Linked DNA regions of Ovis aries. The protein of the gene in region 2 interacts with the protein of the main gene of each other region in a pairwise test. Links are inferred from orthologs where the notes say so. Each region holds a gene or a part of one and is shown on either strand. Other genes may lie near its edges. The genes, in order: DDX6 and VPS52.

Region 1 (7,933 bases), on a different chromosome or scaffold from region 2:
AAAACAGACCAAATAGGAAAATAACTTCATTTCAAAACATCAACACTGGGGGGTGTGGGGGTGCTCAAGGAGAGAAGCCTGGAGCCTGATGTACAGCAAAAACAATGTAACACTGTGAAGCTATTATCTTTCAATTAAAAATTTAAAAACCCAAAACATCAACACTGATTGAATATACATATAAAACACTTGCTTGCTAGGTCCCAAGAATGCAGAGCTAAGTTCTCAAAAGGCACTTATAGTCTGGTGAGAGAACACATATAACAGAGACAAAAAACCAAACAATACCAAATTGAGTATGTTAAATGAGGGGTTTTTAAGATGCCTTTTTTTTAACATGCTTTTTAAGATCAATCACAGAATGAAGACAGATGTAGAATGGCCTTGGCTTTGAGGTTATTCAATGACTTCTCAGTGCAAAATAAAAATAAACTATCTGACTTCCCTAAGAAAAAGACACAAGGCTGAATCATTCCTATAAACACCTATCACCTATTGCTTTTAAAAGGCAAAACATGTTTTAGAAGCAAGTTATTTTGAACAAACCAACAAGAGTAATGAATTTACTAGAAGGTCTTAAACACAAAGAGGTTATCCTTCATTCATTGGCAGTTATAAACAAAGCCAAATCAGTACAGAATGGTATGTTTCCAAATGAAAAAAATGTTACCTCATCCAATACTATCATCTGGACATGATCAACTTTTGCTACGCCTTTCTTGATAAGATCCAGGATTCTTCCAGGGGTAGCTATCACCACATGCACTACACAAGATTAGAAAACATGTATTTTCATTAATTTTAGTTGGGGCAAAAAGGATACAGTAAAGGTTTATCACATACATAGTGTATCAGAAACACTGCTGTAGGAATAATACAAAGAGGCCAAGATGTATTTTAGAATATGGATTTCCATCTCATCTTCAGTTGGCTAGAGAATACCAGTTAGTTTCACCTCTGCATGCAGTGGGCTACAGCTTTCCAATTCACCTGTTCCAAATAAGGAACATAGTTTTTTGTCTGAGGGAAACCCCCAGGGAAAAACAAAAAGTATGCCGAACTTTTGATATAGCTGCTGCTGCTAAGTCACTTCAGTCGTGATACAGCAGCTTGCCTCTAATAGATCAATGGTCTGCAGAAGACTGTAACAGGATCAAGTAAGATGATCATTTTTAATTAACAAGGCAGTATAAAGAATATAGTAATTAAACTAATCAAGTAACAATCATATATAAAATCCTGACTAAAATTCAATGTATAACTAAATGGATTTCAACTCTTGCTGTTTTCTTTTTTTCACTAAATAATGTTATCATGGAGAACTCTTCATGAAAATGAATACAGATCAGCTGCACTCTTTAATGGCTATGTGGCATTCCATTCAGTCTATACCCCAGTATATTTAGCCAAATTTCCCTGATATTGTTCCAGTTTTTCGGTACTACAAACCACACTGTAGTGGACAACCTTGCATTTGTCCAATCATTTCTTCAAAAAAAGATCATTAAAAACATACATGTATAATTTTGAAACATAATGCCAAATTGCCCACCATAGAGATTGTATCAATCTATACCCCTATGTTGCAAGACAACAAATTTCTTCACAAATGCATATTCAGTTCAGTTCAGTCACTCAGTCGTGTCCGACTCTTGGTGACCCCATGAATTGCAGCACGCCAGGCCTCCCTGTCCATCACCAACTCCTGGAGTTCACTCAAACTCATGTCCATCGAGTCAGTGATGCCATCCAGCCATCTCATCCTCTGTCATCCCCTTCTCCTGCCCCCAATCCCTCCCAGCATCAGTCTTTTCCAATGAGTCAACTCTTAGCATGAGGTGGCCAAAGTATTGGAGTTTCAGCTTTAGCATCATTCCTTCCAAAGAAATCCCAGGGCTGATCTCCTTCAGAATGGATTGGTTGGATCTCCTTGCAATCCAAGGGACTCTCAAGAGTCTTCTCCAACACCACAGTACAAAAGCATCAATTCTTCGGCGCTCAGCCTTCTTCACAGTCCAACTCTCACATCCATACATGACCACTGGAAAAACCATAGCCTTGACTAGACGGACCTTAGTCGACAAAGTAATGTCTCTGCTTTTGAATATGCTATCTAGGTTGGTCATAACTTTTCTTCCAAGGAGTAAGCGTCTTTTAATTTCATGGCTGCAATCACCATCTGCAGTGATTTTGGATTACTAATTAGCCTTTCCAATCTTAATTAATCTTGTCAATCAGATAGGTACAATATCAATTTACTGTTTTTATATGCAATTTAAAAAATTACTAGTAAGGTTAAATATCCTTCCAATGACTAAAATAATTTTTTTCTTCTTGACTGAAATGGTCATTTCCTTTATTCATTTTTCTACTGCAATGTTTGTTCCCTATTTTAAAAACAATTTTAATAAATTACTGAAACACTTGTGTGTCAAATTACAGACAGCAAGCCAGCTTGTATCCAATCATTTCTTACCTGTATCATCAAGCCTCATTATGTCATCCCGTAAATTGGTTCCTCCTGTGGTTGCCATCACTTTGGCCCCTCCCATGTGTTTGCTGACCTGGATGCAAATTTGACTGACCTGTAGAGCAAGTTCTCTAGTGGGAACAATCACCATTGCTGGAAAATATCAACAAACAGAAAAAAGGAGAGAGGAGGGGGGAAAAGCCATATTTTAAGAGTTTAAGAAGCTATAGAAATATTGCCCCTTGTAATCAAGACACTCAAATGAATAAATTTCAAAAAAAGAAACTATTATAGTGTACCAGATTTAGACTTCTCCTCAGTAACAATGCTATACAATTCTTCTACTCTTCCTGGTTACAAAGCCTTAAAGGGTTCTTTGAGTTGGCAATTATTAACTCAAAATTTGTTAGTATTTTAGTAAGAGATCACTAGTCAAAATGCCCAAATAGGAAACTCCTGCTGCCCAGTTCTACTTATATCATATGAACATAATAGGAAGATGGCAGAAATAATTATAGATCAAGAAACCATGGGGAGAAAAAAACTGAAAACTTTACAAAAAGCTTTAGAGGTGAAAACATAGATCTACTGGGTACAGTTACGGAAATGTGTCTCTTCCATACTACTTAAGATTTTAAAATCCCCAAGCCACAAGGCTTCAGAGAGAAAAAGTTCCTGCTTTTACAAGGAACTCTGCAGACACAGCTGTCACAAGAAACATTCTAGTTCCAGTTCCATAGTTTTAAGTATCTATTTCAGACAATTTAATTTTCCCTATCTACAGGACAATAATTCTTATTTTGCCTATCTCACTGGAATGTTGTAGTAACTGTAAAATATGCAAAATAACCTTAAAAACTAGAAATCTCTTTTTAAAAGTTAGGAATCATTTTTACAAGACAACTAGGCCATAAGCTGTGAAAAGGGTAAATACTAATTTCATATGATTTAAGTTCCAACTGAGAAAAGATGGTAATATCTTCTATACAGCTCCAAGATTTAAATCAGCATTTATAGTTTAAACCAACCTTGTATATTGTCCTTCTTCAGGTCTAGCCGTTCAAGTAAGGGAATGAGGTAGGCACCGCTCTTGCCTGTTCCGTTTTTTGCTCTAGCTAAAATATCCCTACCAGATAAAGCAATGGGAATGCTCTCCTCCTAGAAGAGATGGAACAATGCATATTACTTGTGAATAAAATCAGTACATAGGCGAGTTCTTCTCTAAAACACACTGAAAGTATACAAAGTTCCTTGGTATTGAAGTATTTTACAAAAGACCAAATAAATTAGCAGTACCAGTCAACATCACCATTAGTATCAACTTACATTTATCAGAACTACTCATAAAATACACACTAAATTTAGTAATAAAAACCTTTGAGTTTGTATGTGTGAGCATCAACAACAGAAAAAGAGGAGGAACTTGGGCTGACACAATAAACACACAGGGGAAAATAAGCGAAGGACATTTTGCAATTAAAAACAAAGAAAAAACAGCACAAACAATATTCAAAAGAAGGACTATATGATATTCTGAGACTAGTAAACCAACTTGACCACAGTGAAAAATTGTAGGTTGGACAATTTTATTTCTACATAAACAGGACTCAGATGGAAAAGTTTAGTCTTGGGTCCTATCTTTTTTTAAAATTGTATTACATAATGACCAATGTCTGTCTCGCAGCCAACTTCTGTCCTGAGATGTGCCCTGACTTCTCGTTTTCAAATCTGGCTTACTCGTGTGTTTTGCAGACATGAGTGTTTTGCAGAAGATAATATTTCTTATTAGGGCAAATTTCCTAGACAATACCAAAGGATTCTCAACAATTACTAAATATTAAATATACATACACAGAGAGAAATTAAAAAAGGTAAAACAGGTATGAACAGAGGAAGCAGAACACTTCTATTTCTAAAACTAAAAAATTTTAATTTCTACAACTATAAAATTAGAAAAATAAATTAGGAAAAATATTCACAATCACTGTAATTAGCTCTTTCTATGCTTGAGCTAATGACCAAAACAAATATCTCTAGCAATTTAAAACTGTTACTGGAGAAATACCCAAGTCATAAGCATCATGACTTTCATTTCCTACCATGACACTTATTTTAGAACCCCAATCATAGGGGTCAGATGGGTTCCATATAATCAGAATAACTAACACTGTTGCCAGAACAACTGTGAAAATAGTTCAGTGACAATACTCTGTTAATTTACTCCGACAGCCAGCATTGAACAGTCTGCTTATTATGTAGGGTGAAGCAGGTCAAAGAAAGCCTTGGTTTGACCCTCTGGTCTTAAATCCTTCCTTGCTTGACCACATGTGTTACTCAGCCGTGTCTGACTCTCTGTGACACTGTGGACTGTAGCCCGCCAGGCTCCTCTGTCCACAGGATTTTTCAGGCGCGAACACTGGAGTAGGGTGCCATTTCCTCCTCCAGGGATCCATGTCTCCTACAGCTCCTGCTTTGCAGGGAGATTCTTTATCCCTTGAGCCACAACTCTGAGTCAACTCTATTAATCTTCAGTTGTCCCGAAGGCCAATTATCACATGGGTTCAATCTCTATTATGGTTTTTGAACAGGTTACCAGTATACAACTCAGTTTGACAGCAGAAAAAGACTTTAGTCTCTCAGTGACTTCCTGAGTCAGGTCCTTTAAAAGGATAAGATACCTCAGTGAAGTCAGACAGGACAGAATTAGATTGGGGGTATCCTAATTCCTTTTTGGGGTTTACATTATGGCTTAAAGGCCACTGACTTCTGTTTCTCTGCTCTTTGACAGGACTTATGTTCCACAGAAACAGAAACTGTTTAAGGATAGGGCTACAACAAAGTAAGCTAGCTAGCCTGTAAGGTAAGATGCACTGTACTTTGTCTCATATGGTGGCTATTATGATTAGCAGTCAGAGAATTCAGTATATTCACTGTCTCTTATCACTGTTTGCTAGGAAGATTAAACAATCCGAAGTGAGGAAATTCAAGCCAGATTCAGACAGCTTTGAAACTCAAGAGAAGTCATGGGGAACTGCCAGGGAGAAGGAGGAAGGAAGCTAAAAATTTTAAAAACTTACTGTGATGGGTACTACACTTAGATACTTAATGTTAATTATATCCTTTCAAGTTAGGTTACTTTTTGTCTTACAAATGGCAAAATGGATCCTCAATATTGTTTTGCACAAGGTGATTAAGCAAGAAATGCTAGAATCAGGATTTGAACTTAGGTCTGCAAATAAGAGAAACTGGAACCTCATACACTACTAAGTAGAATATATAGCCATTTTGGGAAATAGTCTGGCAGTTCCTCAAAAAGATAAAAAATTACCACATGAACCAGCAATTCTACTCCTAGGTATATGCCCAAGAGAAATGAAAATACCTCCACAAAAAATTCTACATACATCAGTGTTCAAAAAGGCATTATTCATAATAGCTAACAGTGGAAACAACTCTACCAACTGAAGAATGGATAAACCAAACGTGGTATAGCCATACAGTGGAATATTATTCAGCAATAGAAAGGAATAAAGTACTGACACATGCTACAATATGGATGAATCCTAAAATATGCTAAGTCAAAAAGCCACAGCTGAGTCACAAACAGCATGTATTTTATAATCCCATTTATATGAAATTGTCTAGACTAGGTCAATCCATACAGACAGAAAGTTGATTAGTGGTTGCTTAGAGCGAGGAGGGGTTCTGGTGGCTCAGAGGTTAAAGCATCTGCCCGCAATGTGGGGGACCTGGGTTCGATCCCTGGATCAGGAAGATCCCCTGGAGAAGGAAATGGCAACCCACTCCAGTATTCTTGCCTGGAGAATCCCATGGATGGAGGAGCCTGGTGGGCTACGGTCCATGGGGTCGCAAAGAGTCGGACACGACTAAGTGACTTCACTTTCACTTTCAGAGCAAGGAGAAGAAGGGTAACTACTAAGTTTCTTTTTGATGAAAATGTTCTAAAACTGACTGTAGTAATTGGCTGCACAACTGAATAAAAAAAAAAACCCACTGAACTGCATTACTTAAAATGTGTAAACTTGTATTTCTGTGACCAATACCCTAAGGCAAAAAACAAGCAAACAAAACACCACCAGAACACAAAAACCCAAAATAAAAAAAATCCCACGAACTTAAAGGTATGTCTGATTCTGACACTTTAGCTCTCCAAAGTCCGTGTTCCAGTTCCACTGTAAGGTCTAGGGACTGAGCCACTATGTATTTATTGTGCTTTAATAACCCTAGCATCCATTTCCCTTTCTTTGCTGTTGGTTCAGCCACCCAGTCCTGCTCGACTCTCTGTGACCCCACTGACTGCAGCACACCAGGCCTCCCTATCCCTCACCATCTCCCTAAGCTTGCCGGAGCTCATTCCATTGCATCGGTGATGCCTCCGGCCATCTCATCCTCTTGACACCCCCTTCTCTTTCTGCCTTCAAGCTTTCCCAACATCAGGGACTTTTCCAATGAGCTGGCTGTTCGCATCAGATGACCAAAATACTGGAGCTGCAGCTTCAGCATTCAGGGCTTCTCTGGCGGCTCAGATGGTAAAGAATCTCCCTGCAGTGCTGGAAACCAGGTTTCGATCCCCGGGTTGGGAAGATCCCCTGGAAAAGGGAATGGTTACCCACTCCAGTGCTCTTGCTTGGAGAATTCCATGGACAGAGGAACCTGGCAGGCTAGTCCATGAGGTCTCACACGACTGAAAGACCAACACTTTCCCTTTCTTAGTAGCACCCTAAACTTTTTTCTGAGGAACTGCGTTCTCTCCAGTCCCTGATGGATAGTCTAGCCAACTTCCGCAGCTAAATGGAGACACCAACTGCTTTTTAATTCCTAGGGTCAGTTGAACTTAAATCTTGGTTTCAGAGAGAACAAAATGGATACTGCAGAGGCAGTTATGATTAAGGTATCTACTGCTCCCTAGAAAAAAAAGGAGATGGAAGACAGTAATTTCAAAAATAGTTATCTCCAGCCTAAGGAATATACTCCAGTTTTACCACAGTATCTAATGAAGACATGCATTTTTGAGAATTTAGGAAAACAATTCTTTTAGCCATAGTAAATTCGTGTTAGCAGGAGGAATGAATTACAAAAGAATTAAGAATGTTCTAATTCTTAACTATAAATTTGATAAATGACTAACTAGACTTGGTTAATGAAATAATTCCTCAAAATAATGAGATTCCCAACTTGATATGAAATTTGGTTGCCAACAGAAGTTAACTTCTGTTTTTCTCTCAATAATTAACTACCTGCTATTCCATCACCTTCTTATCTATAAAGTCCTCAAAAGTTGTGCCTAAAGTCTGGAAATAGCAAGAGCTGTCATCTTTCAATCATCTCCAAGTTAATATAAGGTTTTGCAATGTTTAACAGAATAAAACAGTAGACTCCTAGGTACGCCAAAAAAGCCTGTTACTATAGAGCTATGCCTTTAAAATGGCATGGTTATGTTAC
Region 2 (8,686 bases):
ACATCAGTCCTTCCAGTGAATATTCAGGGTTGACCTCCTGACTGGTTTGATCTCCCTGCTGTCCAAGGGATTTTCAGGAGTCTCTTGGATGCATCAATATTTTCTCCCTCCTATTTTTTAGTGTTTAGAACTTTTGATAAACAGCTTTTTAAAAAAGTTGCCGTCAAGCTTTTTGAAAGCCCTGTCCAGTCATTGTGACTAGCTCCAACCATGTTTCCAAACAATGCAGATGACCAGTTAACATCCCGCTTTAGAGGAAGGGCAGTCCAACCTTAAGGAGTATTCATAGCAGAAGTGTACAAATGAAAAGAAGGGATCATGGCATAAAAAAATCTTGCAGATGTGTTACCTTAGTAAATACCGTTTTCTGCTTATGTCACCATTGATACGTCAAAGTTAATTCCCCAATTAACTTTGCTCCTTTAATTTTTTGAGGAATCCCTCCTCCTACTCAGCCACCACCCCCAGCACTCCCTTCCAACTTCTAAGTATTACTTAACCCCACATTCCAAATCATTAACAAAAGACCAGGTACCTCTAAACTTTGGCTGTCTCACCAGAGAAGAGCCAGCAAAAGCTGAAACACAGCAAAACCCCAAGTAACTGTATCTCTAGAATAATCTTTCCCAGTGATAAGCAGGGCATGAGGTTCCCTAATAGATTCTTATCAAAATACTCATTAAGTACTGGAAACTGCTTTCAAAATCTGTTTTAAGGTTAAGATATATACTTAAGGTAACAAATGGGAAACTAGTTAATTTCAAAGAAGCAGAGAGAAAGGGTTTAATATAAGCATCCTATCAACCACACATCTTTTTTTTTTTTTACTTTTTTTACTATCTGACCTAAGCATTCTAGCAATCTTTAAAAACAGAAGCAACCTCAGAGATACAGCAGGTTCAGTTCCAGACCACACCCAACAACACTGAAATAAAGAGTACTCTTGCCTGGAAAATCCCACGGATGGAGGAGCCTGGAAGGCTGCAGTCCATGGAGTCACTGAGGGTCGGAGACAACTGAGGGACTTGACTTTCACTTTTCACTTTCATGCATTGGAGAAGGGAATGGCAACCCACTCCAGTGTTCTTGCCTGGAGAATCCCAGGGACGGGGGAGCCTGGTGGGCTGCCGTCTATGGGGTCGCACAGAGTCGGACATGACTGAAGTGACTTAGCAGCACATGGTATTTTGGTTTCCCAGCACATGTAGTTACATAATCTATTCAGTGAGCAACAGCCTCTTAAAATCTATACACACCTTAATCAAGACACTTTATTACTATGAAGTACTAACCATCATCTGAACTTTAAGCAAGTCTAAATCTTTTTGCAATAGTAACAAAGGTCACTGATCACAGATAAGTGTAACAAATACACCAGTAAAAACTTTTAAAGTTATTTCATCAAAATGTGACAGACACACCATGTGAGCAAATGTGGGAGAACTGTCTTAAGAGCTGCCACAAAAACACAGTATCTGCAAAGTCCCATAAAATGTGAGCCCGAACTGTATTTTTCACTGCCTTTATTAGTCTCACAGAAAAAGATGAAAAGACGAAACGTACTATTTAAAAATGAAAGCTGTGCTCCTTGAATTACAGAATTAAAAAGTAACTGTGACAAATCTCACCAAGAAAAGCTGATATTGATTTGCTGTTTTAAACAATCTATAAAATACTTATCATAGTGTCTTCTGGGGTTCTAAGAAAAGCCTATCCTTGGCTCCAAGAAGTGTAAACATACTGGCAAAAAACATTTGGTCATTTCCACAATTTTATCTTTTTAAAGGATAACATCACTATCTGGAAGGCTGGGAGTTCATTAGGTTAAGGGAGATAGCCAAGCTTGCATTCACTGACAACTATAGGCTTCTTCATACTTGTAATCTCTTGGCATTTCTACTTATCCTTCAAATGGTACAATTATGTAACTTCCCCATTCCCTAGGTGAAATCTCTTGGTTTGACCTGAGAGGACTCTTTGGCTTTTTCTCACTTACCTTTTGGGACAAATGGGGCCAGCGGTTAAGTGGACTAACTGCTCTCTTAATCATTCTTTTTTTTTTTTCAACCTAGCAGACAAGGTCATCTGGTTGGAACTCCCTCAACCTGCCTCACTTTCAGCTCAGGTGTTGACAACTCAAGTTTCATCTATAGTCTCTAGTCCTTACCCTGCGTGTCTTAGTCGCTCAGTCGTGTCTGATTCTGTGCGACCCCATGGACTGTTGCCCCACCAGGCTCCTCTGTCCATTGGAATTCTCTAGGCAAGAATTCTGGAGGAGATTCTCCAGGGGATCTTCCCAACCCCAAGGATCAAACCCTGGTCTCCCATATTGCAGACAGATTCGTTTACCATCTGAGCCACCAAGGAAGCCATCAGTCGTTACCCTACTTTACCTTAATTGCAGTGATGGCAAAGGCAATTTTCCGCCGCCCATCGATGTTGGTGTTGAGTACTCGCAAGATGTGCTGGAACTTCTCAGGAATTACTAGAGACTGATAAAGAGATTGAGAGAGAAATCAGACAGTGAACTACTATCAAACCGTAACCTCAAACACGAACGCTAAGCTTGTCACACAGGGAGCAAGAAACCCCCGTCAGGTCTTCACGACACAACAAACTCCTGAGTCCTGCAGACAGCAGGAACATGAAGTGTTCAGCCCTGGGAAAACGCAACCTCGGGGAAGAAGCGTGTCTCCTACCCTTGCCCCAAGTACACTCTGAGTGCCGGAGACACAGGTCCTCACACACGCCCAAACCGTTCTAGTGCCCGGGGAGGGACTTCCTCTGGCCCTAGTCCCCAGAACTGGATGCCTTTAGTTGTCCTTTTCCAGAAGCGGTATCCGAGGTTCCACCCAGAAAGTTGCGGGCCCTCAAGACAGGACATTTTCAACCCTCTGACAGCAAGACCTTCCCTGCCCCGGTCCCGATGTTGCTAGATCCCGGCAAGGATTGTACTCTTACCATGGCGGCGGCCCCAGCGGCGGCGTGTAGGCCTCCAGTGGAAGAGAAAACGGAAGTGACGCAACAGCCTTATATTGCTACCAGGCGGAACGGGCGGAGCTATCTGAGCAAGGAGCTTCCGGAAACTATGCAAGACTCTGAATCGGGCGGCACGACTTCCGGTCCGGGGTTTCTTTACTGTTCGTAAAGGTTTTGTGTGTGCGAACAACAAAGGTTCCGGATTGAGATTGTGCTTAAGAATTCCACTTATTTTCACTTGGGTGAAGCGGTTACAGCCGAAAGAGGAAGACTGGAGGCAAACAAATATCTGGGAGCGATTTCGCACCGTGCAAGACACGCTAGGACCTGTAGTTCCCTTCCGGGGAACAGATTCGCCTGGCTGACAGCTGCCGGAAGTGAGGCTGCGCGGAATGGCCGCCGCTGCGACCATGGCGGCAGCTGCTCGTGAGCTGGTGTTGCGGGCCGGGGCCTCAGATATGGAGGAGGAGGAGGGCCCGCTGGTGAGAAGCAGGGCTGTTTCTCCTTCAGAGTCTTGTCCAGTCGCCTCACGTCAGGAAGGCCTGGGCTGGGTGTAGGCACAAGGGTGGGTACTCGCAGCTGCCAGTAATGCTACCCAGCTTGGCTCTCCAGACGCCTCCGTGGGATCCGACCTGAACCTGAGTACGGCCGAGACTCTGGTTCTGGGGCCACAATTGCAGTTAACTTCCAGATGTTTGGGCAGAATAGAGAAGCAGTATAAAAGTCTGGGAACATGGCTTCTGCTTGGGCTTTAACTCAAGCTCTGCCGCGTATACTGTGTGTCTTCGGGCAAGTCTAACCTGCCCCTCCATGCCCTTATTTCCACACCTATAAGGTGAGAAAAGTAAGACCTGCTATATATGTTGTGGGTTAGGACTGGGTGAATGAATATATGTAAGATGGCACCTGGCAGGTAGGTAAACACTATGTATTAGCTGGTAGTTTTAAAGAGGTTGGGGCGCCCCAGAGGGATGGTGATAGAACATTTAAGGTAGCAGCAGTCTAGAGATCCTAAATTCACCTGCAAGTTCTGCTCTGCCCTCTGCATCTCCTATTTTTTCTCATTTGGTTACCTTCACCCTTCGTAGTTTGCCTGTCTCCTTGTCCCGTTCCTATCCATCAGCCCCAATTAGTTGACTGAGACAATATGGAACTTTTGACATTTTGTGAACTCAGAATGTACCTGTGATTCCCCAGTGAAAGTCCCCCTTTTCCGCTTGAAGGATTGGTGACTGTTCCATTCTATTTTGTTCTGCTTCTGTCTTTCCCATTAACCTGTTCCTCTCCAGGGGAGTGGTCCAGGTCTTCAGGAACCACTGCAGATGGGAGAGTTGGACATCACCTCTGATGAATTCATCCTGGATGAAGTGGATGGTAAGTGATGGCAAGGGGTGGGGGGTATGCGGTCCTATAACCTGAGAGGCTGGGCTCTGCAAGCACTAAGGCAGGGACTGGTGTGCGGATGTTCAGTGTAGAGACAGATCTGTAGAACTAGCTGAATCCTTATGATGAACTTCTATTTGCAGTTCACATTCAGGCGAATCTGGAGGATGAGTTAGTAAAGGAAGCTCTTAAAACGGTGAGGCTTTCCACTATACTAATCTGCCCCTCCCTGAACCCTCCCCTTAAAGGAAAGAAGAAAGTCTTTTTTGCTCCTACTATCACCCTGGTCTTTTTCTCTAGTCCTTCATTGACTGTGTTCCAGTGTCCCTTCACTGACTTCCTCCTGACCCTCTCACATTTCTGTTCTCCCAGGGTGTGGATCTTCGTCACTATTCAAAGCAGGTTGAGCTGGAGCTACAGCAGATTGAGCAGAAATCCATTCGGGATTGTATCCTCCAGCAGAGGAGAGGGGTGCTGTTATTAAAACGGGCATTTTGTGGGGGTATGGTGCTGACAGCCCAGCTGGGGCCGCCGTCTCCTCTCTGAGGTTTCTGCCACCTCAGGGAGAAATTGGAGAGGTCCTGCGGCGGTCTGAGAATCTCCATGTCCACAGTGAGGCCCCTTGACTTGTTGTGAGTCAGATATCCAAGAGAGTGAGAACATAGCATCTCTGCACAATCAGATCACAGCCTGCGATGCTGTCCTTGAGGTTAGTAACCATGCCCTGGGAGCCCTCATATCCCTGAGTGCAGATCATGGTCTTTAGCATGATTCTTTAGGCCATCTTCCTCAGGCAGGGACAGTTAGAGTCACTTTCAGGATGATCTCAGCAGCCATTTTAGTTGTTGCTGCCATGACTAACGTTGTTATTTGCCTTTGTTGCACCTCTTTCCTTATCACCCACTGCTCTCATAGTTGGGTAGATACTAGAGGCTTTACCTAGAAACTTGTCCCCTGCCAATCCTGTGGCTATTCAGCAGCCCTTCTGCCTTCTCCCAGCGCATGGAGCAGATGTTGGGAGCTTTTCAGAGCGATCTCAGCTCCATCAGCTCTGAGATCCGGACACTGCAGGAACAGTCTGGAGCCATGAACATCCGACTGCGGAACCGCCAGGCTGTCCGGGGGAAACTCGGGGAGCTTGTTGATGGTCTCGTGGTGCCCTCTGCTTTGGTCACGTGAGTCACTAGTTTGAAGGGTCCTAATGTCATAGCTAACTCATTGGAAAAGATCCTGCTGCTTGTAAAGATTGAAGGCAGAAGACAGAGGATGAGATGGTTGGATAGTATCACAGATTCAATGGATATGAACTTGGGCAAACTCCAGGAGATGGTGAGGGACCGGGAGGCCTGGCATGGTGCAGTCCATGGGGCTGCAAAGAGTTGGACACGACTGAGTGATTGAATAACAAAGGGCAACATCACAGAAAGAAGATGGGCTGGTGTGACCTACCCTACTTAACCACGTGGGTCTCCCGGCTTCAGGTTATCACACACTTTCCAGAAAACGATGAGTAGTTGACAGCTCTTTTTTACCCTGACTCGGGCTTTAAGGAGTAGGAATCGTCTGGGGTTGGGCATCGAGAAGGGGTTTAAGGTTGATGTGGGTGATGGAGGTGTGTGTGTCCAGGCACAGAAGACTCTGTGCACGCGCTCTGACCCTGTGATGCAGTGGACGAAGGGAGAGGAGACAGAAGCTGGATGCCGGGGTTACGGGTTAGAGTCTCGAGGTGTCTGGGTCTCCCTCCTCACCCGTCCCACCCCTCCCTGCTCCCCAGGGCAATTTTGGAGGCACCAGTCACAGAGCCCCGGTTCTTGGAGCAGCTACAGGAGCTGGATGCTAAGGCAGCTGCAGTCCGAGAACAGGAGGCTAGAGGCACAGCGGCCTGTGCAGATGTCCGGGGCATGCTCGACCGCCTCCGAGTCAAGGTGGGAAGTGGGGGTGGACACCCTAGAAACCACTCGAACCAGCCTCCCTTAGACCTCTACCCTGGATTGCCCTGGCAAAGCTCACTGTAGCCCACCCCCAAGAACTTCTCCTTGCCTTTATGTGGCAGGGCTCATCCTCACATCTCTGGGTTTCTCTGAAAGTCTTAACAGATATCAAAGAGGAGTTCTCTACTCTTGCTCATCCAATATCAGCTTTTGTTCCTCCCCTCAGTGCTTCCCAGGCAGTGAGAAGGCTACAGCTTCACGCCCTGTGTTTGGTCCCCCACATCTAGGCCGTGACGAAGATCCGAGAGTTCATCCTTCAGAAGATTTATTCCTTCAGAAAGCCAATGACCAACTATCAGATCCCACAGACAGCCCTGCTGAAATACAGGTCGCCACCCAGAGAAAGGGTGGGTGTCCCTGGGGGGCTGGCTGGGAGATTGACTGGTTCCTGGCTCCTCCAGGTTCTTCTATCAGTTCCTGCTGGGCAACGAACGCGCCACTGCGAAGGAAATCAGGGACGAGTATGTGGAGACGCTGAGCAAGATATACCTGTCTTATTACCGCTCCTACCTGGGGCGGCTCATGAAGGTGCAGGTAAGCCCGTGGAAGGAGAGGTGCTCTGGGCGCCTGAGCTGGGAGGAGGGACTGTATAAATGGACGCCTTTTTTTGTTGTACATTGGGAAGCAGTGTTCCAGTGTTCTATTCTCTCCTCCAGTATGAGGAAGTTGCTGAGAAGGATGACCTAATGGGCGTGGAAGATACAGCCAAGAAAGATATCCTGGAGCTGAGGGGTGCTCATGCTGGGCCTGGAGAGGGAAGGGCTTCTGGCCCCAGCCTCCAAGGCCCTGCTGCTTAACTTTTCTTGTGGGACCAACACTTTGCAAATGAGATCAAGGCAGGAGCCTCCCTCCCCAGAAAAATGCACAGATCATCCTTACACTGAGTTTTGCGTATGATGTCAGGGAGTGTAGAGGCTCCCTGGAGTCCATTCACAGATGTCAGGTGAAGTGGGGCCCCAAGACTGGGGAGGAGGGACCCCGAGGCCATGTCTGGCTGCTGGGGCCCCTGGAGGTCCTGGATCTTTGATCTTCCATCACAGTTGTGATCTGTTTCCCTTGACTCTGGCCCTTCACGATTCTTCTCAAAGCCATCCCTCCGCAGCAGGAACACCATCTTCACCCTGGGGACCCGGGGCTCTGTCATCTCTCCTGCTGAGCTGGAAGCCCCCATCCTCGTGCCCCACACTGCCCAGCGAGGGGAACAGAGGGTAGGAGGGAGAGCCAGCCTCAGCCTCGGGGTGGGGCTCTGAGCACAGAACTTGGGGCAGAGCTTCCCGGCTGCAGGCCCTGGGGGAGTCCCCATCTCCAGTTGCCCCTGCACTCTGCAATGAGAGGAGGGTTGGACCATTGACTCGGGGTGTTACAGAGGGTAATAGGTCATTAGGCGGGTGTGGTGGTAAATGCGGGAGCAGCAACAGCAGGTGGGGGTGGGCTCTTCGTGTATCCCTCCTCCCCACCCCGCCCCTGCCCTTCAGTACCTGTTCAGGAAGCCCTTTCGCAGCCTGAATGAGGGTTAGATGGGGAGGGTCTTCTGAGCTACTGGTACCCAGTTGAGCTGATGTTCCAGCTATGTCCACAGAGAGCCAGGACTGGGGTCCACCCGTCTGTGTCTCTTCCTGCCTCTCTCATCCTAGTATCCTTTCGAGGCCCTCTTCCGCAGCCAGCACTACGCCCTCCTGGACAATTCCTGCCGTGAATACCTCTTCATCTGTGAGTTCTTCGTGGTGTCCGGCCAGGCTGCCCACGACCTGTTCCACGCTGTCATGGGCCGCACTCTCAGCATGACCCAGGTGAGCTCCCTGGCTCCCGGGCTCCTCGTCAGCACTGCAGTGAGGTCACAGCCCTGGGGCACTGAAGGCAGGACCCCCTCGTTTTAGAACACATGAGCTTTATTCTCACTGTGTGCCTCCCCACAAGACCATCAAAGCTTGGGGGTCCCTGAGGACCCCCTCCTGATTCACACCCAGGCAATAGCACCTGAACACTTGGAGGCTCCTAGACCTTGGTTCCCGGCCCTGAATTCTGCTGTGATGGGCTTGTGATGATAGATTAGGTGAGCAAGGCCGCGGGACCACGTGGGTGGCTGGTGGACAGGAAAGGAGGAGCATTTTCCATTTAGATCTCTCCCTGTACCCCCAAGTGTCATGTCCCCAAAGAGCACTGCACCTGTCCATGGTCACTGGGAGTGACAAAGGAAGAGACACTTCCAACCCTCTGCCTGGTTCTAAATCCTCAACCACAGAAACACCTGGAGTCTTACCTCGTTGACTGTTACGATGCCATTGCTGTTTTCCTCTGCATCCACATCGTCCTCCGGTTCCGCAACATCACAG

Evidence for each region.
Region 1: the proteins of VPS52 (region 2) and DDX6 interact in binary tests that used the Homo sapiens proteins (3 or more experiments, as listed by UniProt). The two-hybrid records come from large-scale screens. The link is inferred for Ovis aries from reciprocal best matches to the Homo sapiens genes VPS52 and DDX6.

What each region holds. Positions count from the first base shown.
Region 1 is NC_056068.1:29,109,818-29,117,750, forward strand, and holds part of DDX6 (probable ATP-dependent RNA helicase DDX6), read right to left. Parts: intron 3,629-7,933; coding exon 3,499-3,628; intron 2,624-3,498; coding exon 2,477-2,623; intron 766-2,476; coding exon 671-765; intron 1-670.
Region 2 is NC_056073.1:7,593,739-7,602,424, reverse strand, and holds the start of VPS52 (vacuolar protein sorting-associated protein 52 homolog), read left to right. Parts: upstream 1-3,358; 5' UTR 3,359-3,371; coding exon 3,372-3,461; exon of another isoform or gene 3,462-3,544; intron 3,545-4,268; coding exon 4,269-4,353; intron 4,354-4,505; coding exon 4,506-4,558; intron 4,559-4,734; coding exon 4,735-4,810; intron 4,811-4,999; exon of another isoform or gene 5,000-5,003; coding exon 5,004-5,071; intron 5,072-5,361; coding exon 5,362-5,537; intron 5,538-6,136; coding exon 6,137-6,287; intron 6,288-6,580; coding exon 6,581-6,681; intron 6,682-6,754; coding exon 6,755-6,887; intron 6,888-7,009; coding exon 7,010-7,067; intron 7,068-7,427; coding exon 7,428-7,561; intron 7,562-7,987; coding exon 7,988-8,143; intron 8,144-8,595; coding exon 8,596-8,686. Other genes in the region: RPS18 (small ribosomal subunit protein uS13), read right to left, coding at 2,394-2,492, 2,962-2,964. UniProt on the Homo sapiens protein: Acts as a component of the GARP complex that is involved in retrograde transport from early and late endosomes to the trans-Golgi network (TGN).